Arabidopsis thaliana: one gene and its partners. The protein of the gene in region 4 binds, or shares a complex with, the protein of the main gene of each other region. Each region holds a gene or a part of one and is shown on either strand. Other genes may lie near its edges.

Evidence for each region.
Region 1: AT3G52860 (region 4) and GCT share a complex: the UniProt entries of both Arabidopsis thaliana proteins name them as parts of the mediator complex.
Region 2: AT3G52860 (region 4) and AT2G22370 share a complex: the UniProt entries of both Arabidopsis thaliana proteins name them as parts of the mediator complex.
Region 3: AT3G52860 (region 4) and MED19A share a complex: the UniProt entries of both Arabidopsis thaliana proteins name them as parts of the mediator complex.

What each region holds. Positions count from the first base shown.
Region 1 is NC_003070.9:20,634,869-20,640,801, reverse strand, and holds the start of GCT (RNA polymerase II transcription mediator), read right to left. Parts: upstream 3,423-5,933; 5' UTR 3,209-3,422; coding exon 3,185-3,208; intron 3,104-3,184; coding exon 3,030-3,103; intron 2,937-3,029; coding exon 2,797-2,936; intron 2,711-2,796; coding exon 2,624-2,710; intron 2,463-2,623; coding exon 2,375-2,462; intron 2,286-2,374; coding exon 2,208-2,285; intron 1,961-2,207; coding exon 1,883-1,960; intron 1,794-1,882; coding exon 1,714-1,793; intron 1,461-1,713; coding exon of another isoform or gene 1,406-1,460; intron 1,310-1,405; coding exon of another isoform or gene 1,275-1,309; coding exon 1,196-1,274; intron 1,087-1,195; coding exon 760-1,086; intron 519-759; coding exon 459-518; intron 215-458; coding exon 1-214. Other genes in the region: AAE18 (acyl-activating enzyme 18), read right to left, coding at 4,143-4,259, 4,353-4,562, 4,656-4,754, 4,847-4,972, 5,049-5,265, 5,343-5,437, 5,522-5,742, 5,821-5,897. UniProt on the Arabidopsis thaliana protein: Component of the Mediator complex, a coactivator involved in the regulated transcription of nearly all RNA polymerase II-dependent genes.
Region 2 is NC_003071.7:9,499,695-9,504,744, forward strand, and holds AT2G22370 (mediator of RNA polymerase II transcription subunit), read right to left. Parts: upstream 2,517-5,050; 5' UTR 2,385-2,516; coding exon 2,343-2,384; intron 2,196-2,342; coding exon 2,096-2,195; intron 2,006-2,095; coding exon 1,948-2,005; intron 1,871-1,947; coding exon 1,514-1,870; intron 1,428-1,513; coding exon 1,325-1,427; 3' UTR 1,090-1,324; downstream 1-1,089. Other genes in the region: AT2G22360 (DNAJ heat shock family protein), read left to right, coding at 1-765. UniProt on the Arabidopsis thaliana protein: Component of the Mediator complex, a coactivator involved in the regulated transcription of nearly all RNA polymerase II-dependent genes.
Region 3 is NC_003076.8:3,951,849-3,958,441, reverse strand, and holds MED19A (mediator of RNA polymerase II transcription subunit 19a-like protein), read left to right. Parts: upstream 1-2,256; 5' UTR 2,257-2,533; intron 2,534-3,098; 5' UTR 3,099-3,156; coding exon 3,157-3,184; intron 3,185-3,306; coding exon 3,307-3,596; intron 3,597-3,830; coding exon 3,831-4,067; intron 4,068-4,256; coding exon 4,257-4,316; intron 4,317-4,476; coding exon 4,477-4,527; 3' UTR 4,528-4,623; intron 4,624-5,065; 3' UTR 5,066-5,302; downstream 5,303-6,593. Other genes in the region: AT5G12236 (uncharacterized protein), read right to left, coding at 160-294; CLE22 (CLAVATA3/ESR-RELATED 22), read right to left, coding at 391-702; AT5G12220 (las1-like family protein), read right to left, coding at 5,428-6,293, 6,410-6,593. UniProt on the Arabidopsis thaliana protein: Component of the Mediator complex, a coactivator involved in the regulated transcription of nearly all RNA polymerase II-dependent genes.
Region 4 is NC_003074.8:19,590,915-19,595,639, reverse strand, and holds AT3G52860 (mediator of RNA polymerase II transcription subunit-like protein), read left to right. Parts: upstream 1-2,871; 5' UTR 2,872-2,898; coding exon 2,899-3,118; exon of another isoform or gene 3,119-3,308; coding exon 3,309-3,424; intron 3,425-3,507; coding exon 3,508-3,642; 3' UTR 3,643-3,792; downstream 3,793-4,725. Other genes in the region: AT3G52870 (IQ calmodulin-binding motif family protein), read left to right, coding at 1-183, 294-408, 620-685, 781-869, 988-1,075, 1,162-1,308, 1,406-1,498, 1,627-1,728 and 1 more; VSR1 (vacuolar sorting receptor homolog 1), read right to left, coding at 3,950-4,045, 4,145-4,257, 4,350-4,478. UniProt on the Arabidopsis thaliana protein: Component of the Mediator complex, a coactivator involved in the regulated transcription of nearly all RNA polymerase II-dependent genes.

The DNA of each region.
Region 1 (5,933 bases), on a different chromosome or scaffold from region 4:
ACAAGTAAGACCAGATTGCCTACACGTCAAAGAATCTGCATCAGCGTCAAGATCACCAGTTCTTGACGTCATCCTCCAGCCGCTCCCGCTGGAAGCGCTACTTGTTGAACTAATGCTGCTATTACGGCTACTACCACTGCTATTGTAACCATTTTTTTCATAAAACCCATCACTCTTATTTTCAGACGCACCAAGGCAGTCAAAATCACCAGCCCTGCATAAAATAAAGTTCACATATACAGGGATCATGGACAGACTGTTATAATGAAAAACAAAATCGTTACGTATAACATTGGAACAAAACTCGGAAATGCCACAGCTCTCACTCCTATGGTGCTTCAAATAATGAAGATTACAAAACATTCGGTTTCTCAGAACAGTTTGGGCATTTCAAGACCTCTGTTTTGTGGATTTCTTTTGATCTTCAAATGTCGACGAGATAGATGAAAAAGACTCACCAGTGCATAAACAAAGATGAGCCTGCTAGTGACGGGCCTATCCAGTTTTGAAGCCAAAATCTGCAAGTATGATTTCACCTTGCATCAGCTCCAAGCTGAGGAAAGATCACAACTATTACATCTATTTAACATGGGTCTGAAACAATTACTAAAACTTCCACTACGATCACACAGAGTCAATTTGTTTTAATACATACATGGAATTCAACAGAAACGAAATAAATTTTATGTATAGCCAATCTGGATCTTACCGTTAAGTACTCAATGAATTCTAAATAACCACCTCACCTAGTCAATTTACCTTTTCAAAGAAAATTTCGCAAATGCCGACTGTAAGATTGGTACAAGCACTGCCTCAGCTGGATAGATGAACTTTTTTTCACAAACTGATGAAAGATCTGATTGTCCTTTACGGTGATCTTTACTCCCAACTGAAGGTTCAGGACACTGGTTATGGGGCAAGTTAACTGCAAAGGTCGAATTAGCTTGACTTGTGTTGTCATTTCTATTTTGGCAGCAACCAAGTGTAACTTCCACGTAGCAATGATTGCCATTTATCAGACGGGACCCACGACCAATATGAGAAGGGAGACCAACATATCCAGTCGAAGTTTTTAAGTTTCCAGAACTGTGTGAGAAAAAAGTATTAGTTGAGAAAATTGGATTAATCAGATTAACGGCTACGCACTCACAAAAAATGTTGACTTGGCATTCGAAAGCAAAGGTATGAAATGTACCTGAAGTAGACTTGCTTGACAAGGTCATTGGGACAGAATCCAGTAAGGCTGCCCCGCATTCCATGAGGAGAAACAATAACTGGTGGGAATAACATAGGCCTGTGAGAAGTGTTTCTATCAAATAAAAAGCTCTTATCTTTCTTTAAGCATGTGTAGAAGGCGGATTTCATTTCAGGTATCAATTCAAAAAGTTTGGCTTCATAGAATTACATGTAGCATAATCTATTATCCTCACTCTTGGCCAATCCCAAACATTTACGAAAAGCTCTTGTGACATGCAAAAAAATGAGGTGTTAAATCTTTGCTTGATGAAGCTAGGTAGCAGTAGCACTAGACTACACTAGGTTTCTTTTTGGAGTGGATGCATTGAAAATTGAGTTCAAAATGCTCTCAATCTATACAGTATTCTAACAGTACAAAGCAAGAAGAGGTCAACAAACATCTAGAACTAGTTCCATCAAAATCGTAGACAAGTAGGATAATTTATCAATCCAAATGATGATGGAAAAATAACTAACCTGGAAGCCTATAACTGGAGTTTTTCAAAGAACTCCTTAACATTCTTTCAGCATCGCCACTTGAAAGTGTGCGGACATTCCTTCGTGCATAAAATATTATAGTTAGTTTCAATAACTATGTGAAGCACTAAACCATAACTGAAACAGTATAACAAAAAGCTTTACGGACTTGGCAGATATAATGACATGGACAAAAACTGCCTCTTCGGTAGCAGCAAAGATGAATTCAACAGTAGGCTGTCCCCTCCTACATAAATATCCACAGAGCATTAGCGAGCCACAGAGCATTAGCGAGCCACAGACCTAATCATAGAATTCTTTGGATTCTAAGAATTACACTCAGGAAACCTAGGTCTCACAGACCCTATTTAATGAAAGCTATAGGATAATACATAATCGAAAAGCCATAGAGAAAAAAGACGATATATTTGCTAATAAACCATCAGAGATTATAACGCATGGTCTCGCTTATATTGGTAAGAGGTTGCAGATACCTCAAATATTCTTCGCTTTGAGGGCTGAATTTTGAAAACACATCTCCAAATCTCATGTAGGAAATTCCAGATAATGCTCTGTGGCGATATCAAACAAGTTAATATGATACTCTAATCCATTATTTCCTTAATCCAACCATTATGTCTGCAGATAATAAAAAACTAACCTTTCGATGCAATTACGTAAAGACTGTGAAAAGGCAACTGATATCTCTTCAGAGTCCCCAGGTGCTACCCAAATTCCTGACGCAACAACTTTCAACAGGAGAAAAAGAAAAGTAAGGACAAGTATACCAAGATAACCATAGACCACAGGCATGTTCACTAAACAGTCATAATCAGAATAGAGACAATATGTTTGAATCTATTGAGGCGACAAAATACGATGAAGAAAATAAATCATAAGGAGAATATACCTCTAAGCTTTGACACAGCAGCCTGAGCTTTATCAGATATTGATGAATGACGCCCAGGTAGAAAAAGCCAAAGCTTAATCTTTTCATCTGAGCAGCAGCGAGGAATGATGGTTAGATACAACTGTAAATAAAGTTACAAAATTTAAAAGTACCAGATTGAGATTTAGCATTACCAGGGTTGTATAAACCTTGAGATGGATCCCAAGGTCCAACAAAAGAATTGGTCCAAGTGGTAAGAAACCCTTCCTTCTGCAACCGTAGATGAGAGGAAAGTACAAGATATGTTGCAACTTCATTCTGCTCAGCTCTTGAACTGAAAAAAAAACTCCAGAGTGACCAGACTAATTAGTACAATGTCAATAAGGAAAAACTAAAACAACCCATTGAAAAAGCTTAAAGCTTTAACCTTCTATCAAAGCCAGGATTCAGCTCAGTTTCACTTGGAAGAAACTGAAACCAAGAAACATTATGTAGACCACCCTGTAGAAGAAAAATCATCATGTATTACCAATAAGTCAATTTTCACACACAATGGGAAAAAGATGATAGAATAAGACTTACAATTCTGAAAACATTAGTCCACATCACTTGGGGATAGATACAACAAGTTCAATCCTTTTTTTTCTTCAAATTATAGGCTATAACCCCAAAATCATCGTCTTGAAGCGCTCGGAATTGGAAGACGTTGTCAATTTCTAGCTCGATCTTCTCTTGATGTTGCGAGGTTTATATCTCTCTTTTGATCAAAACTCTTCAATACATCATAATCATCTCAACACGAAATCTCTCGTGGTTTTCATAAAACCAGATCCAAACGCGCTCTTTAGGGTTCTTTTTTTTTTGTTGCTCTTACTAATTCTTTTTTTTTCTGTGGCCCAATTTGTTTTAGTCAGGCCCAATTCATTATTTTCACAACACTCTGGTTCAAAAAAAAAAACCGCCAACCACAAGCATCATAAAAGAGTTTCCTCCAAATAAGGTGTTTAATATCAAGTGTTTTTGAAGTTTTGGTATTAAGATCTCATTCTTTCGAGTTTGTTTGACTTGCATCAATCAAATGAACCAAACAATGCTATGGTTTTACTTTATATTTTCTAGATTTTGTATACCACGATATAGCTAGACCTCGAATGATCTTAACGCTATCTTTGTATCGTTGGGTGCGGCTAGTTGTCTTCTGGTTCCATAGGTCATTCGTGGTGATACTATTCAGATGTCTCAAAGCCTTATGGGATGTATGAGTATCGTCCGAAATATTTTTACAAATTTAAACAAAAGATAATCTTGAGGAAAATTAAGATTATAATCTGATATGAAATATATACACCAAACACAAACACAAACATAACAAAGTCAAAGTGTTTAGTCATGTAAATGTGAATCAGGCTAGAGAATTCAAGGACCGGTAGATTTGATTTAATCGGTTTTCTTATTTGGACCGAGCAGTACCCAATCATGTGTAGATCAACTACTACTCAGCAGATCTTATTTTATTCTAGTTAAACTTAAGATCAAGGCTTTATATTCGACTTCGTAAGGATAGTAGTTCTTGCTTAATCTGATCTCTCAAGACTCTTCTCAGTAGCTTGCTAGAAGCTGTTCTTGGAAACTCCGGCACAATCTTCACAAAACTCACCTGCAATATTTTTGCAAAATCCATTTTTAAGCACACAAAAAATCTTATAATAACTTTGAATTTATAGAAAAACTCATCAAAGATATTGATTACCTTGAAGAGAGGATTAAGATCTTTTTGAATGGTTCTTGAAAATTTCATCTTTAGCTCTTCTCCACTCTGTTGCTTGAACCCTTCTTTCAAGACTGCGAATATGACCAGCAACTCTGGACCACCGTTAGGTGGTGTTAAGGTGACTGCAGCTGTCTCAGAGATGCACTCATCAGCTTGATCACACACACGTTCGATCTCAATAGAACTCGTCTGCGTTATAACAGATAAACAAAAGATGAAAACTTGAGAAAAGTTCCAACTCTAATCGAAGTTGGGTATATAGACATACAATGTATGTAGTACCTTAATGCCTCCAAGGTTCATGGTATCATCAGCTCTACCTTGAACATTGTAATATCCTCCAACAGTTCGCTTCACAATGTCACCGTGTCTTCTAAGTCGCTGCAGAACGCAACAGAACAGAGGAATCGTTTAACTGACGTAAGTTTGCAATTTTGTTTAGATGTAAATATAGAAGTTCTAAAACTACTCACTGTTTCCTTATACATGGGCATTCCCTTGAAGTAAACCTCGTCGTGATTTGCATTCAGAAGTCTATCCGTGGCCCCAAGGTGCTGGGGGAACAAACCGACTTCTCCAGTACATGGTTGATCATCCGGCTGCAAAAACCAGTCTACATCAATCTCTGGATATTCTAAGAAAATACTCCAAATGTCTAAAGTTTCAGTTTGTCACATATGGGACGCCATTTTCATCGAAGATGATGATTCTAGTTGTCATGGATGGTGTGCTAAACGCTCCAAAAGCCTGCGGTTGAAGAGGGCTTCCTATGATGTATGACGAAGCAAGTTCCGTGCCTCCACAGCATTCGATCACAGGTTTGTAATCAGCTTTAGAAGAAAGCCAGAGAACATCGTCAACATTGGAAGCTTCTCCTGTAGTGGCGAAAAACCTAACAAAACACAACAGCTTCTAAGTTAAAATTTCTCGTATAAACCCGAAAACAAAACAAGGTTTGTTGCTCCTTACTTAATCTTTGTCCAATTAAGCCCTTCCATACAGTTTGTTCTCTTCCAAGTTTTCACCAAGCTTGGAACAGTACCAAGAACTGTAACTCCAGCATCCTGAAGTAATATCAAGCACAAATAAGTGAGGATTTATCGAACCTTACTAAAATTGAAAAGGAGACAACAATGGAGATGTCTTGCCTGAACAAACTTTCCAAAACCGCGGCCAAGGGGAGACCCGCTGTAGAGAGCGAGAGTTGCACCAGTTAGAAAGCAGGAGAACATAAGAGTTGGTCCCATTACCCATCCAAGATTTGTAGGCCAACAATATGTGTGACCCACTTGGACATCAAGATGAGCCCATCCATCACAAGCACTACGAATTGGTGATAGTTGTGTCCACGGTATAGCTTTCGGCTCACCTGGTTAAGAAAAAAGAACTAATCATTAGATGCATCTAAACAAAATCTATTACAATTTGATGATCACATTATTTTTACCTGTAGTTCCAGATGAGAAGAGAATGTTAATCACAGACTCTACAGGTAGATAAATCGGACGATAGTAGTTCTCTCCACTGCAAGCAAAATTGGAGCATGTCTTATCTACACTC
Region 2 (5,050 bases), on a different chromosome or scaffold from region 4:
AGCAGAGCTGTGGATGGTCAAGACGAGTATTACACGCTAATCTTAAACTTCAAAGAAGCGGTTTTCGGAATGGAGAAAGAAATAGAGATATCCCGGCTCGAGAGCTGTGGGACATGTGAAGGTTCAGGTGCAAAACCTGGAACCAAACCGACCAAATGCACCACGTGTGGCGGACAAGGCCAAGTGGTTTCAGCAGCTAGAACTCCTCTGGGCGTGTTCCAACAAGTCATGACTTGCTCGTCCTGTAATGGCACTGGAGAGATCTCGACGCCGTGTGGTACTTGCTCTGGAGACGGACGCGTGAGGAAGACAAAACGGATAAGTCTCAAAGTACCAGCCGGGGTTGATTCAGGTAGCCGGTTGAGAGTGAGAGGAGAAGGCAATGCCGGGAAGAGAGGCGGATCACCAGGCGATCTGTTTGTTGTTATAGAAGTTATCCCAGACCCGATTTTGAAACGAGACGATACAAATATTCTCTACACTTGCAAGATATCGTATATCGATGCGATTTTAGGGACGACACTGAAAGTACCAACAGTGGATGGGACAGTAGATTTGAAAGTTCCAGCTGGGACACAACCTAGCACGACGCTTGTGATGGCGAAAAAAGGAGTTCCGGTATTGAACAAGAGTAATATGAGAGGAGATCAGTTGGTGAGAGTACAAGTGGAGATACCTAAGAGATTGAGCAAAGAGGAGAAAAAACTTATTGAAGAGCTTGCTGATATGAGCAAGAACAAGACTGCTAATAGCACCAGTAGATGATTAGAAACACGAAAATTTTGACATTGAAATTATGAATCTCTCTATACATATACATTTTTCTACTCTGGCTTGTGATATTTAGAATGGCTCTTGAAAAAAGAAGAAGCAAGTGGAGGAAGATGATTATTGTTGTGGAAATGGAAGAATTTTAGAATTCATTTTTTTGTGGTTCAAATTTTTAATATGTTAGGTTTTAATAGGCTTTCAAATTGGAATTTATTAGTGATTGAATGATAAATAAAATAGTATGTAATTCCACAAAGACATTCACATTATTTTAATCATGTTCGAAGCTTCATAAACTATCAATCTACTGACAAGTGACAACAATGAAACATCATAATACCAAAAGGTTGAGAGAAGAGCAAAGATCATATGCAAGTTGTGATTTATAAAGAATATTTATTAAAGATCCCTTACTGATTCTCATTAAATAATACTTAACTCTAATGGTTCACAAGATTTCACAACCATTGTGTAATCTGGAAAATTGACTAGATTGGACCAAAAGATCTAACAAGAGAGAACACAAGAACAGTTGTTTTTAACTTCAAACTTCTTACAATGTAGTACCTCCTCCATCCGACATAAGAGATGCAGCCGCCGCAGCAGCGGTTGGCACAACCCCCGTGGAGATAGACGGTTTCGACAAGTGAACAAGCCTGAAAACACAAGGAATCATATCACTGATGAAGCTTATATCAAAGACACTATCACAGGTGCTGTAAAATATATCAGATGAACTTACGGAGCAAGAAATTCACAGAAAGATGAAACAGCAGCAGCGACTTCACTGTAATTCTCAGAAGTTGCAGGAGCAGTTACATCAACAATCTGCATACCAGGTGTTACAGGAACAGCCTCATCTATAGCATGAACTTTAGGCATCTTATTAACAGAAGATACAGAAACACTTATGTGCGCAGTCCGTTGGAAATGAAAGGCGAATCCGACTTTGAGAAGCTCATGGTCTAGTTTGTAACCGAGTGCATAGAACATACGCAAAGCATTCTTGCTTACTTTACTTTCAATCATATTTCTAACCAAAACAGAGATTTGATCAGCTCCTGCACCTCTCATCGCACCACCAACATGTTTAACCGTCCTATGGTTCTTAAATTAGCTTCCTTTGAATGAAACAAGAACATATACAACAACAACAACAACAAGAAGAAGCTGTACCATGTGGGTTCGGGTTGATCAAGATCACATAATAGCCTAACTTCTGATGACACAACTCCTGAAAAAGTGAAGATTTCACAAATGTGAATCATGTATGATTCATAGGAAGCTTCAAGTTTCTGAATTTAACAAAAGGAATTGGCTTTACCAAGATTTGGGCCGCTTCTTAAGCATAACTCATGAACTCTTAAACGTTCGCGTTGAACACCACAAAGACCTTGAAGAAGAATCTCAAGAGCTTCAACATGCTGCAAAATCCAGTAGAAAATCTAATCAAATTCTAATAAAAATTCAAGCCTAGGGTTTATCAATTGGACATCATAAGAAAGCTAAAAGCTGATCCATGAACTCGAAAAACTTGGGATTTGTTCGTCAATCAAAAAATACAAACGAACCTGTGTCTCGATGATTCCTTGAACCACACACTCCATTGACATTGAGCTATCACAAAATCTCTCAATTAAAATCGTAAATATATTCTCAACAAGACCAAATCCGAAATTGGAAAAACTAACGAAAGCTTCCTAAATCGTCCTCGGGAGCGAATCTGAGATTTTTTAACACCGGAGAATTTTAGCTAGTTACTAGAATCACTTGTGTAGTTGTTATATAGTAGTTAGCTGTAGATAAAGCAAGATGGCCTATTAGCTCAGTTGGTTAGAGCGTCGTGCTAATAACGCGAAGGTCACAGGTTCGATCCCTGTATAGGCCATTTCGTTTTTTCTTGTTGCCCCTTTTTTGGGAACTCGATCATAATAAAAACTCTAGTGCATCTCGGTCATTGATTAGTGATCACCAAATAGCCCATTAGCTTAGTTGGCCGCATGATGAGAACATAACCACCGGTTAACCGGAGTAAACCGTCATTAGTTAGGTTGAAGATAGAATTTAGTTTGTGCTATCTTTGCTAAAAAGTTCATGAACCCTAACCTAATTAGTTGGCATTTTAAGAAGTCAACTAGTTTCGATAAAGTTTATGAACATAGCAAATGATATTTATATATGGTTATTTCATCTTGGTTGTGATTACTGTAAATGTCTACTAAGTAGAATGTGTTAATTCCTTATAATTGTTGACAAGAAATATGTAGAAAATTTTGTCAAAATTATTGCGATGTTGTGTAGATTAAGTGGCCACTACATCACCACAATCCTTTAAATTATTAGATAAAAAGTTCAAAAATAAGTCAAATAACCATGTTTACGAAAAGTTTGGAGGAGAATAGGAAAAATGTAAATATATTTATTTTAGCCTCAAACAATTCTTCTCTATTTCAATAGACGAATGAATCCTCAATTTTGCATTAACTAAACCATTTTAGTTTCTTCATTCGTCAATAATATCCTCAAGTGTGTAATCATGTTAATGCTCGTCTAATATACCGGTAACTCAAACCGGCCTCATTTTAACCTACCTCACCAAATTTGTAGAGGTAGCATAATACACGGGCCAAGTTGAATATCCAAGTTGATATTTATGCTTATAATGCATCATTTATGAATTGCCAATTGTCAAATGCCAAGCATGCTTTTGTGGGAAGGCTTATGAATTGTTTACAATGATACAAGATGCAAATGTAAAACCAAATATCATCAGGATATATTAATACAAGAGTCTATGGACTTGTTTCAGAGGATGAAAAATATAAAAACAAAAAGGTGTTCAACAAAAATAGGTCAAGCTTTGGGTTGTATCCAAGTTTATGTATTAGTGATCCGAGCAAGAGAACCTATCAATGCGATACACGTGTAGCAATCATTAATCAAATCCACGTATGACGACTTTGACTACCATACACTCTAGTACTCTCTACCGTAGAGGATTACATTTTAACCCTACGATTAGTTTAATCTCTCAGTCCACCGGAGAGTGTAAAAACAGCGAGAAAATCGACGTCGTTCGATCGCCGACTGCGAGCGAAGAAGAAGATGGCTGAAGAAGAGGTTGACTACGTATTCAAGGTTGTTTTGAACGGAGATTCAGCGGTTGGGAAGTCACAGCTACGAGCTCGGTTCACAAGAGACGAATTCAGTATGGATTCCAAAGCCACAATTCGGTGTCGATTTCAATACTCGAACGCTCGTTATTGACGATAAGAACATCAAAGCTCAGATCTGGGACATCGCAGGCCAGAAACGGTACTATATCCTTCTCCGATCTTAGTTCTATCTTCTCTGATTTAACAATGGATAAAATATTGCTTCGAACTCGATGATGTTACAGTGTTGCTGTTCAATTTCGATTTTGATCTTCGTGTGTACCTGAGAGTGACCTCATTTTGACTAGAGAGTAATCGACTCTTTTAGAAGTTGGACCATTAGTGTTGGAATTGTTCGATTTTGTTCTTCGGCAACATTGTAATGTGTTGTTATAGCATTCTCCTGAAGAATCAAATTATGTAGTGATGATCACATTCACATCCAAGTGGCTAATCATTGTGCATGGCATGTTTTCTCCATTGTACATAGCAATGTGGTTGGTTTGATTAGTGACATTCTTGTTCTTTTGCTGTGAGTAGACACAGAGCTATTACATAAGCCTACTACAAAGGTGCTGTTGGTGCAATGTTAGTTTACGATATGACAATACGTGAAAGCTTTGAGCACATTCCTCAGTGGTTGGAAGAACTACGAGTGCACGCGGATAAGAACATTGTCATCATCTTGATTGGTAACAAGACGGATTTAGAGAACCAGAGATCGGTTCCTGTGGAAGATGCCAAGGAATTTGCAGAGAAGGAAGGGCTTTTTTTCCTTGAGACTTCAGCACTAAACTCCACAAATGTCGAGAACTCTTTCAACACTCTCTTGACTGAGATCTTCAACAAGGTGAACAAGAAGAATCTCGCTAAGACCACCGTGTCTTGCAGCTCACAAGTCAGTCTTCTAAGACCACCGTGTGTTGCAGCTCAATAAGTCAGTCTTCTCGATTTGGTCCATTACAGTTTAGAATAAAATAAACCATTTCATATACTTCAAAAATATTGTTTTGATTTGGTTTTTAGATAGTGAGTTTTGTGTAGTGTACGTTGATTTTTAGAACAAAATCTTTCATTTTTTTTATGTCGTTCCAACAAAAGTCATCATGATTATGCTTATATGA
Region 3 (6,593 bases), on a different chromosome or scaffold from region 4:
AATGATGTTCATTCTTGTTTTTTTTTTTTTTCATTTGGCATTAACAATGATGTTCATTTATCATTATCAAGATATTCACACACACCACACGAATTCCACCAGCTTCATATTCAAAAACAAGGGTTCCAAAAGATAATTATGCGTGTTATCGATACACTATTAAATCAAGAAAACCGAGAAGCAGTAGTTACTATTTTCAAAGACTCGTTGTTCAACACTCTTCAATCTCATCCCACCACATAGAACACATAAGTTACAATCACGGCATATAACGTACGATATAGTGTATATCATCAGTGTAAGAAAAAAAGTAAATAAATATGTTTTTTGTGTTTGCACAAATGAGTTTTATTCAGACAAAAATTCACAAAAACTTGTAAAAGCAAAAATTTATCTATTGTGCAATGGATTAGGACCTGTGAAGACCCTTCTCTTGCCATCTTCAAAAACATCTTCACCACCACCTTCATAATTAGTATATTTTGATCCTCTTGATGACGCAGCATTGGAGTCAAGATCATGAAGCTTTGGATCCAAATTTCCAGATTTCTTCAAGCTTCCATGAGTTGAGTGATGATGTATATTAGGAGAAGACGATGAAGCTTTAGCGTAAAGAAACAGAAACAAAAGAAGAAGAAGGATGATCAAGGCAACTGTAGTGATGTGTTTCCTAGATTTTCTTCTAGAGTAGTAATTTCCCATCTCTTAGGAATCTTCAAGATATGAAGAGTTTCTCTATAAGGTATAGATTATATATTTAGAATCGATTTTTGCAAGTATAAAAGATCTGATCAAGATCTCTTAAATAAATTCTCTCTCAAAGTCTGTAAGAATGAGAAGAGAGGAATGAAAGTGATGGAAGAAAAAGCTATGGGGCTTTTAACCTATGACTTCCTCTAAAAGTTTGTTGCTCTCCCTTTCTTATTCTCCACCACTTTCTACAAATAAAGAGAAGAGAAACTAGATAGAGGTTTGTAAATATATATATCATTAATTTTTAACGAAAGTTTTTTTTGTGTGTTGAATCATTTCCAAAGGTCTTAGCTGGGATTACTAGGTCAAGTGGTAGTAATTAGTGTGGTTAATAATATACTTATAGTGGTTAGTTTTAGAGAGTAATGAGGGTGTGATAATAAAGCATATAGAGGAAGGTAATTATGTGAAGGGGGTCAAAAGTAGAAAGAAATAGAAAAGAGAGAAGAAGGGGCCAAAAAGGGAATTGGAGTGATGATTCTAAGACTTAGCTTTCTTTGGGGAAAATGATGTTGTCTTCACTCCCTTTTTCTTCACCCACATTTACACTCACTCACACACATGAAAAAATCCACTTACCACTTGAATCTTCTTCCTCTCCATTTTATATAAATGTTGTATATCTATATTTGCTTCTCGTTTTTTAGTCTTTCTAAGATTACTTTTTTTTTTTTAATTTTACTTTATTATGAGTTAAGAAAGAGAATAAAGAAAACAGTATCACAAGAACTAAATTACATACATGATACATATATGGATATGATTCTCCAATATGCATCTTCTACCTTCGATAAACGTATTTACAACTTGTGCAACAAATGTTTTTAAGAAATCAAGCTGAAAGTTTATAGAAGAAAAAACAAAGACTTACGTCCAATATTTGTCAAGAAACACCATATGTGATATGTACCTCAATATATCCTCATCAGTCATCACGTTTTTATATATTATATTCCCATTTATTTTACAGCAGACAAATCATCATTTACATAGTAGAGAGCAGGTATACAAACTCAAATCCCCAAAAATACCATTATTCCATTTTGTTCTCGTCAAGCACTTTGTCTCTGATGTTATATCAGCAAATATACACGTATGTATTCATCGTATGTTTCATCTTAAATTGTAGAAGATATTGTTAGGCATGTCTCGATCGGATTAGACCTGTCCGACCAACCCAAAACACTGAAAACTTACATTATTTATGTTTTGATAATTTTCGGTCTTATAATGGTTTTTTAGAATAACAATTCATGTTTTTCACTCAAGTAAATAAAAAATATAGAAAGAGATAACAATCTAAATCGGATATAAATAGTCGTGGATATTTTTGTTTGGATAAGAGTACCACCGGTTAAAGAGAGATTCATTACTCGGTTCGAATACGGTTTAGCTAATGGAAGATCCTTGATTTGTCTGGTTAAGTGGGCCGTGTTGAAGGAGCGCGTGAAGCCCACGCGGAGCCCTTGAATAATAATAAAAAAAGGCTGACTGTAATTTGTTGATTATATTGAGAGAGAAGCCAACGGAAGAAAACAGAGAATAATTCCTCTCTCATTGGTCATCAGACACAAAAGACTCTCAAACCCTAACTAGTCTCGCTTTTTCGCTCTCTCGAACCTTCTTCGATCTCTGTCCTTTCTCGATCACTTGCTAAAATCAAAATTTTAGGCGGGAATTCGATACCCAAGCCCAAGACCCAAACACTTCCCCCCTCACGTTTCGCTGCTTTCGTTAGCTAGCTTTCTCAAACGAGATCTGGGCTTGTCGAAAGAAACGTGTATGTTGATTGTTTCGATTCTTTCTCCTACCAATTGAATCTGAGATTTTGGTTTTGCTATTGGGCTCTGTCTTGTTTCGTTTTCGAATTCCAAATTCCTCAATTTCGAATTTCTCTTCTGCTTGAAGCTTTTTTATCGAGTCTAATCTTCGTTTCTAGTGATTACTTCGCTTGTCTGATTTTTTTTTTGTTAGCTTCATTCCTAAATAGAACAAATTGATGAAACTTTCTTGTTGACTAGATCCAAAATGTATGGACTTGGTATCTAATTTTACTTTTACAAACTTCCGAAAACTTTCTAGGGTTTTGTTTCTGATGCTAGTTTCATTTTTTTTGAGCTTGGAGCAGAAAAGTTGAGAATTGATAGCATCTAATGCTAAATTAGATTTTCTTACTTCTTAGTTTTGGTCACTATGAAATATGAGCTGGTGCTTAGTTATAACTTTTGTATTGTTTGTGCTACAGAATTGTTAGTTTAGATAGTATCGAAGCTGAATTTGCTTTCTGTAGTAGTATTATTTCCTTATCACTCTATGCTTTTTCTGATTTTTGTTTCCTTGTGTAGGATATATATGCAGTGAGCCAGTGATCATGCAAAAGAAATTCAGAGTGCGATAGAGAAGATGGAGCCTGAACGTTTAAAATTTGGAGGTACATTGGTTTCGAATTTGGAGCTTCTTCAGTTCGTGAAGTTATTTTTTTTGTAGCTCGTTGTCCTTTGTTTTCCCCTTTGGCTCACCTTGAGGTCAATGTGTTGTTTGTTTCAAGTGCAGGTCCAAGAGAGTTGTGCGGTGCTGCGGATCTTATATCTCAATTCAAACTAGTGCAACACCATGAATTCTTTTGCAAGAAATCTCTTCCTGTTTCTTTATCAGATTCCCATTATCTTCATAATGTGGTTGGGGACACAGAGATCAGAAAAGGAGAAGGAATGCAATTAGATCAGCTTATTGAGAGCATATCACAGAGCCGGGAGACTAATATTCGCATCCAGCCTTTTGATATAGATGAGCTTCAGGAGTCTTTCCAACTAAATGATATGACTCCTGTTGAATTACCCCCAGTAAGAATCTGATCTTTCTCACTCTCTCTTGGTGTTTTGAGTTTTAAATGTCCTTCTTTTCATAAGAGTAACAGTATTTGCCATTACATTGAACTTAAAAACTGGCTCAGTAATGAATGTCCTATTTCCTGTAACATCAAGTTCTTTGGTTAATTGAGAATCTTTCCCTAGTAATGTGAATTACATCTGGGTGTCCTATGGAGATGATTGACCTTGGTACTATTCTTCTTTCAGGCAGAGAAGGGAGCTCCTACAATTCCGTCTAAGTCAAAAAGTGAGTCGAAAGATAGGGACAGGAAACATAAGAAACACAAGGACAGGGATAAAGACAAAGATAGAGAGCATAAGAAGCACAAGCACAAACATAAAGATAGAAGCAAAGATAAAGATAAAGACAAGGACCGAGACAGAAAGAAGGACAAAAATGGCCACCATGATTCGGGTGATCATTCTAAGAAACATCATGATAAGGTAAAGAACATGTCTGTTTGTTGAAGGTGTCTGTCTTTCCAAAGAAGAATAGCTTAATGGAAAGTTTTGTATTTGTTGCTCTTGAGTTAGGCTGCTTTTTTGACCTGCTTGGCATGAAATTAGCAGATCTAGAGACTGCTCTAGAACATTTTATTGAGTTTTTATGGAGCCTTTTCACTTATATTTCAGAAAAGGAAACACGATGGAGATGAAGATCTTAATGACGTTCAGAGGCACAAAAAAAACAAGGTAATGGTAATGAAGTGGGGCCTCAAATTTTTCTCGTTCTTCATTAACACTCAACATGAAATTTCCACCATAATGTTTTTTTTGCACAAAGGTGCTAGAGAACTAGTAATATGTCTTTGATAAATTGTATTGATTCAGCTCTTGATTGAACCTGTTGCAGCATAAAAGCTCAAAGCTTGATGAGGTGGGTGCAATAAGGGTTGCTGGCTAAAAAAGTTGTAGACATTCCAATTTTGTATTCTGCACTCGAGTAGGTGTCATGGAGACTTTAGAAGCACTTTTCAACTCACTGTAGACAGCTTATTAGGTAAGCATCTGTGTACTGTCCTGTCTCTTTTGTACAATTTTTTCGGTGTTCTTGGTATTCCGGGATCCTTCATAGAACATATACATCTGTTATAGTCCAGATACTATACTTTAGGGGAACTGAACCCATAATATTTTTAGGCAGATACTTGAGTTTTGTGTTGTATTCTTTAAGTTACTGAAATCCAAATAACGCAACATTTGCAAGGGAACATTGTATGTGTCTCTGTGCGACTTCTGTATTGGTATTGGATTCTTTTCTGGTCTTAAGAAAGTTGCCGTGATACATAACTAATGAAAATCGGGTAACCTGTCGAAAGAACATATCAAAGATAGGATGTGTTTCTAAATAGAACAGTCTCAGCTAACACAAATCATTGCTTACATTTTTGTTACTTTCTTATATTTTCAAGTTGTGTTGAACAAAATGATTGGCTTTGTAGGTTAAAAGCCCAAACTGGTGAATTCATTCCTTGAAGAAGAAAGGGGAAATTTGTGAAATGAAGAAGAAGAATTTAGTATCATAATTGATTTGGTGTCAGATTTGTAACATTTTTCTTGGGGTGTTCTATTCCATCTCTTTTCTGTCTATATACTCAATACAACACAAATCGTTACTATTCATGTATAATAATTTACTTACCAATTGATGTTGTTGAAAAAGTAACTGTCAAATCCACTTATTTACTTTTACTTGAGTGTCACAATGTCTATCTGTCTGCGACTATGCCTGTAAAAATTGATCAAATATCTGAACTATTTTCTCAAAAATATGTCGGATTATATGATTACATCTGTCGAAATCTCAAACACAAATTGTAACACTAGAAGCCATCCCCGAGAGTTCTCCATCATTTACTCTTTTCCATTCACCATCTATCATAAGGCAGCTTCTACTTTCCTCTTCATCATTCCACATCAGATTCTCTTCTGCTACAGTTTCAGTTTCCTCATATGCATGTTCTATTTCCATCTCAGCTTCTTCCTCGTATGATTCCAATGTCACATCATTTGATTCAGAATCTCCTGCACTCTTCCTTGCTCGCTTGCATGGCGATTTCTCCAATTGATTTCTATTACACTCAGCTCCTCTCTTCGCATTGTTGTTACCTTGTGCTTGTTTTGAGATGCTCTTAGCATTCTGATTGTCAAGAAGAGGTAAACGTCCAGAAGATCCAATGATCCGAGGCAACATACCAATTGGACAAGGGCTCCATGTTTTTGCCTTTCTCCATCTGTTACCGGTTTTGTCTGTGTCAATACCTTTCTTCTTTGAGAGTTGAAGTTTGACGAACTCAAGTCTCTTGCCTGCATTACCGAGATTCTTCTCTTGCTCAAGGAGCGTTGTACTAGCTGTTACAAGAGTAGAACTCTGTTTCAATGGAACAATTGCAGAGCTTTTATGCATAAGAGGAAGTTTTATGAGCTTCTCCTTTAAGACACGGCCTCCCACAATCTCTGCGAGTAGAAATGCTGATTTCAAAACCAGCTCATATCCTAAGGCTCCCAAGACAAGACATCTACGTATAAGTTCCATAAGGAAAATGCTTGGAGGTTTCACTTCTAGAGAACTGTTTCTCTGAAAATGCTTTGATCCATTGAGAAGACTCACAAGCCATGCAAACAAGAAAGGGACCTGCTCAACTTGAGAAACCTCTTCCACTGGCTTTTCTGTAAGATGCAAATTTAGATACAATTCATACATGTTAGAAACGATCTGAAAACAATTTAAAGTTTCAACTGAGGATCCTTAAGAGAAAAAGCATTTAGGATAAACCAATAGTTACCGGTTTCATGTCTTCTCCGTTCATTATTTTGGATCATATCAAGGACTTCCTTGAGTAGAGTCAAAAGTAACTCAGGTTCTCTATTTGAGAGTTCCATTATTACAGGTTTCCATTCATCTAGAAAGACCCTGAAATCTTGCCCAGCCTTATTCTGAAGATCTGTCGACTTTGAAGAATCCAAGGC
Region 4 (4,725 bases):
CGGCGCCGGAGAGATTCTCATTTCTCCGGTAGACCACCGAGAGTTATCCTCACACGGTGACGCGCTTGAAGGCGCGTGTGATGACTCGACTAGATTGGCGGCGGTGAAAGTACAGAAGGTCTACAGGAGTTATCGTACGCGGCGTAGATTAGCAGACTCTGTCGTTGTCGCCGAAGAGCTCTGGTAATTATTTATAACCTTTTCAACTAAAACACTGTAATTAGATATTTAAATGGAGAGATTATGTTTTAGAGTCATTAACGTGTTAAATTAATGATGGTAAAAAACAAAAGGTGGCAAGCGATGGATTATGCGAGGCTTAATCATAGTACGATTTCGTTTTTCGATTACTCGAGACCTGAAACTGCTGTTTCTAGATGGAACCGTGTTAGCTTGAATGCTTCTAAGGTATGCCTTTTTTTCACAAAAATATCAAAAACATATTTTCACAAAATTTCTAGTTGAACTTTGTGATTTATTTATTTTCCCTAATGAGTCTTCTTTTGATTAAAATTCAGAAAAAAGTATATGTAAATATCTCAAAATATATATTATTGTAAGAAAAAGATCTCCACTTGGTTATTGGTTTTGTAATCTTGTGGTTTGGTTATGGGTTTAGGTGGGGAAGGGTCTGTCTATAGTCGACAAAGCTCAGAAATTGGCCTTTCAGCATTGGATTGAAGCTGTAATTCCTTTCTTCCACAAATTTCAATATTTGTTTGTGTTATATTCTGATTAAATGTAAAAAGAAGACTAATAATATGAAAATTTGAAAATCAGATTGATCCTAGACACCGGTATGGACACAACCTGCATAAATACTATGAAGAATGGTGTAAAGCTGATGCTGGTCAGCCATTCTTTTACTGGTATGCTTAAAATCTTAGGTTCATTTAGTTAGTGTTTTCTTGTAGCTCAAGAATCTTTTTTAGGTGATAATTCTTATCTATAACTTTGTGATATATCCGGGTTTTTTTTTTTTGGCAGGTTGGATGTTGGAGGAGGGATAGATTTGGATCTTAACGAATGTCCGAGGTCAAAGCTTAAGCAGCAATGCATTAGATATCTTGGACCTGTATGTGCCATTTTTTCCTCTCTTATGTCAATATTGGTTTTACTTGTTTTTGGGATTTCTCTCATATAAGCCTTTTCTGGTATCAGCAAGAGAGGGAAGAGTATGAGTATGTGATCATAGAAGGGAAGATTGTTCACAAGTTAACTGGAAAGTTCTTACACACAATGCATGGATCGGAAGGAACAAAATGGATCTTTGTTATGAGTACTTTCAAGAAACTCTATGCCGGTCTGGTAAGTTAAAACCGTTATATCTTTCTATTGGTGATGAATTGATATTAGTATTGAAAAAGATTCTAATGGTTCTTTTCTTTGTTTATGTTTACTTCAGAAAAAGAAAGGAAGGTTCCATCACTCAAGCTTTTTGGCTGGAGGAGCTACATTAGCTGCTGGGAGGGTGATTGTTGACAATGGAGTTCTCAAGGTAACTTACTAAGGCCACGTCCTTTTCTTAGAGTGGTTGAGATACATGTTCATTCATATCAACTTTTTTATTATGTCTGCCTTCTGTGATTTCTCTGTTTGATCGTTCTGTTTTCGGTTTAATCTCAGACAATCTCTGCATATAGCGGACATTACAGGCCGTCAGACGATAGTCTCGACACATTTCTCGGGTTTCTCAGAGAGAACGCAGTGAACCTAGACAATGTTGAGGTAATGCCCTTGTTCTAATCTTGGCTGGTGAATGATATCATTAACTAGAGTTTGGTTGTTTAGAAAAAGAGACTACTTGAGAGCTAATATATCTATGTATGTGTAGGTGCATAAAGCTAGTGAAGATTCTGACAGCTACGATGATTATGTTAAATCCAACGGAGGATCTGAACCGGAACCGTTAAAGAAAGAGGACACAACATTCCAAGCAGAGACTGAAACAGATGAGAACGGTAACGGAACAGTGGGAACACTTGAGGAGGCAAAACGGAGTAGCTACCAGAGAACACTCTCAGGTGGACTTGGGAGTCCAAAAGCTAACGTGCCGCAGAAATCTATGCTACTAAGGATAAACTCAAAGAAACAGTCAAGATCATTACAATTGGGACATCAGTTGTCACTGAAATGGTCGACAGGAGTTGGTCCAAGAATCGGTTGTGCAGCTGATTATCCGGTTCAGCTCAGAACACAGGCTTTGGAGTTTGTTAACTTGTCTCCTAAATACCGGAGTAGCAGACTTTCTCCGACCGGGAAGCTTGATGTCTGATCATATGTTCCGTACTTCCTTATGTAGTAGTAAATGAGAATCTTTCTTCTGTAACTAATGTGTGAGTTCTCTATCTAAGGTTTTTGTTGTCATCTTTTCACATGGATGATTGTGAATCAGAAGGAAGAGAATGAGAGATGTGTTAAAAGCTATTTTCACTGATAATGAAGAGAATGGTTACAGTATTTAGTCAATCGCTTACTCATTTTACAAATTTCATTAGAAAATCCATAGCTAAAAAATCTTTAAGTAAGGATGTAACTTATCTAATTTGATGGAGATAAAAAGTTACATAAGGAATCAAAATTTGTTACAAAAGCCATCATCTGTTATATCTTGTGACATCAAATCAAGAGTAAAGTATCAGAAAATGTTGTTCCTTCTCCTTACTATTGTTTTTTCATATGAAATAAATGATTTACTTCATATATTTATTAAAAATGAATTTTCAGTGTTTTCAATTAATTACATCAAAATGATATTCTTAAGAACAATTAAGAATGTGGAAAAGGCCCAATAAGCCCAAATTAAATCCAGTAAATGGGCCCCCATTATAATATTTTTCACTAAACCTTATGGGCAAACAAACAAGCAGAGAGAAAGAGAGATCGAGATCGGCGTGAATGGATTATCAGCAAAAGCCGCCGCAGTCTTCTGACCCTTCGCCGTCACCGCCTGACCGTCCACCGGGAATCAGATCACCGGAGACCCCCTCGAACAATCAGAATAATGACATAGAGGACATTATGGCTTGCGTCACAGCCTTGGAAGCTGCTCTGTTACCATGTTTGCCGGCGAGAGAGCTTCAGGCCATCGATCGCTCTCCTCACCCTTCTCATCAAAGTCAGTCCCTTTTCTACTCTCCAATTTCACCATTCTAGGGTTTTAGTTTGAATGATAGTTTGGAAGTTGTGTTTGTTTTTGTGCTTAACTTATGATCTCAGTGAATTTTGTGCTTAGAATTCAGTTGAAACCGAAGCTTTGATTCCATATTCGATGTTCTAGCTTAATTCCCCTCATTGAACTGCTGCAGTTGATGTGGAGCGGCACGCCAGAGATTTCATGGAAGCTGCGAAAAAGCTTCAGCTTTACTTCATGGGACTAAAGCGAGAAGATCGCGCGCCCTCGAGAGCTGAAAGCCTTAAGAAGGTGTGGTTTGATTTACCAATGTGAAAACTCCAAACACATATTGTCTTACCAGTTTCTGCTCTCTTCTGTTCTGTTCTTAACAGGATATTGCAGTAATGGAGGAAGAGCTTAAGACAAAAGATGAGCTTATAAAGAAGCACATGAGGCTTTTCCAAGAGTCGCAGAAGCTTGTGAAAGAACAGATTGAGAAACACAGAGATGAGCTGGAGAAAGTTTAACAATCTCTCAATCAAAGTTTATTGTTTTTCTTCTTATGGATCTTAAGTTAGTTTCAACAGTAAATAATGTAACACTCATTATTCATCCAGTTATGTCTATTTTACATTGTAAGAGTAATATGCAGACAAAAAGGAGATTCCATCTGCAAATCCACATTTCTTACAAATAGTGCAGGTACACTTATTTCTGTTTGTGGCTTTTTTCTTTTCTCTAGAGTTGTATCAAGTCCATTGATTCATTTACATGGAAACTTAAAGCTACTCATAGAAAGAGAGAGAGTCTCTTGGCTTGTGTTGATAACTTCACTCATATATCCATATGGTGACCACTTGTGTTGGGTGGTTGACTTTCCAATGGCATGTACTGTGCCATGATCCCTCTAATTTCCGCATCCATGTAACTCTGCATAATTTCAATTGTTACTTAGCATCTCTATCTAGACCGCAAAATCTTCCTATGTTTTAATATGATAACAAGACCAGAGTAAAGAACATCGTATACCCTGATTCTGTATTTGTAGACTGCATATCCAGAAAGACCTGCAACACCCACCCCGATTATAAGGATCCACAAAAAGCTCCAGCTGAGTTTTGTGGTTCCAACTTTGCCTGAACCTACACATTCACCAGATTCAAAAGCAGAAAGTCTGATTAATGACTCCAAATTAAGTATGGGGCTAGGAGGAAGGAAGATCTATTTCTTTTACCTATGCAAGTGTCGTGCTCACGCATGTAAAGCAAACCGTTGCTGCAGCTGCATTCATAACTTCCCCAAGTGTTTTTACATTTACACTCTGGGCACTGGCACACCGTTTTTTCTTTGCACTCGTCCACATCTAACACATTCAATCAAAAGAATATGATTATGAATTTGAATTTGACGTTTAACAATGATCTCACTTCTTTGATTGAGTACAATAAAAAATTCCACTGATAATTGTGTATCTGCACTAAATATTCTAGACCGACATGCATGCATATAAACAATAGGCTAATAGCATGTTACTAGTGATGCCTACTAAATAAATCGACATAGAGCTCTTTATATATGCAAGTAGACCACATGCATATATTTTGTAAATA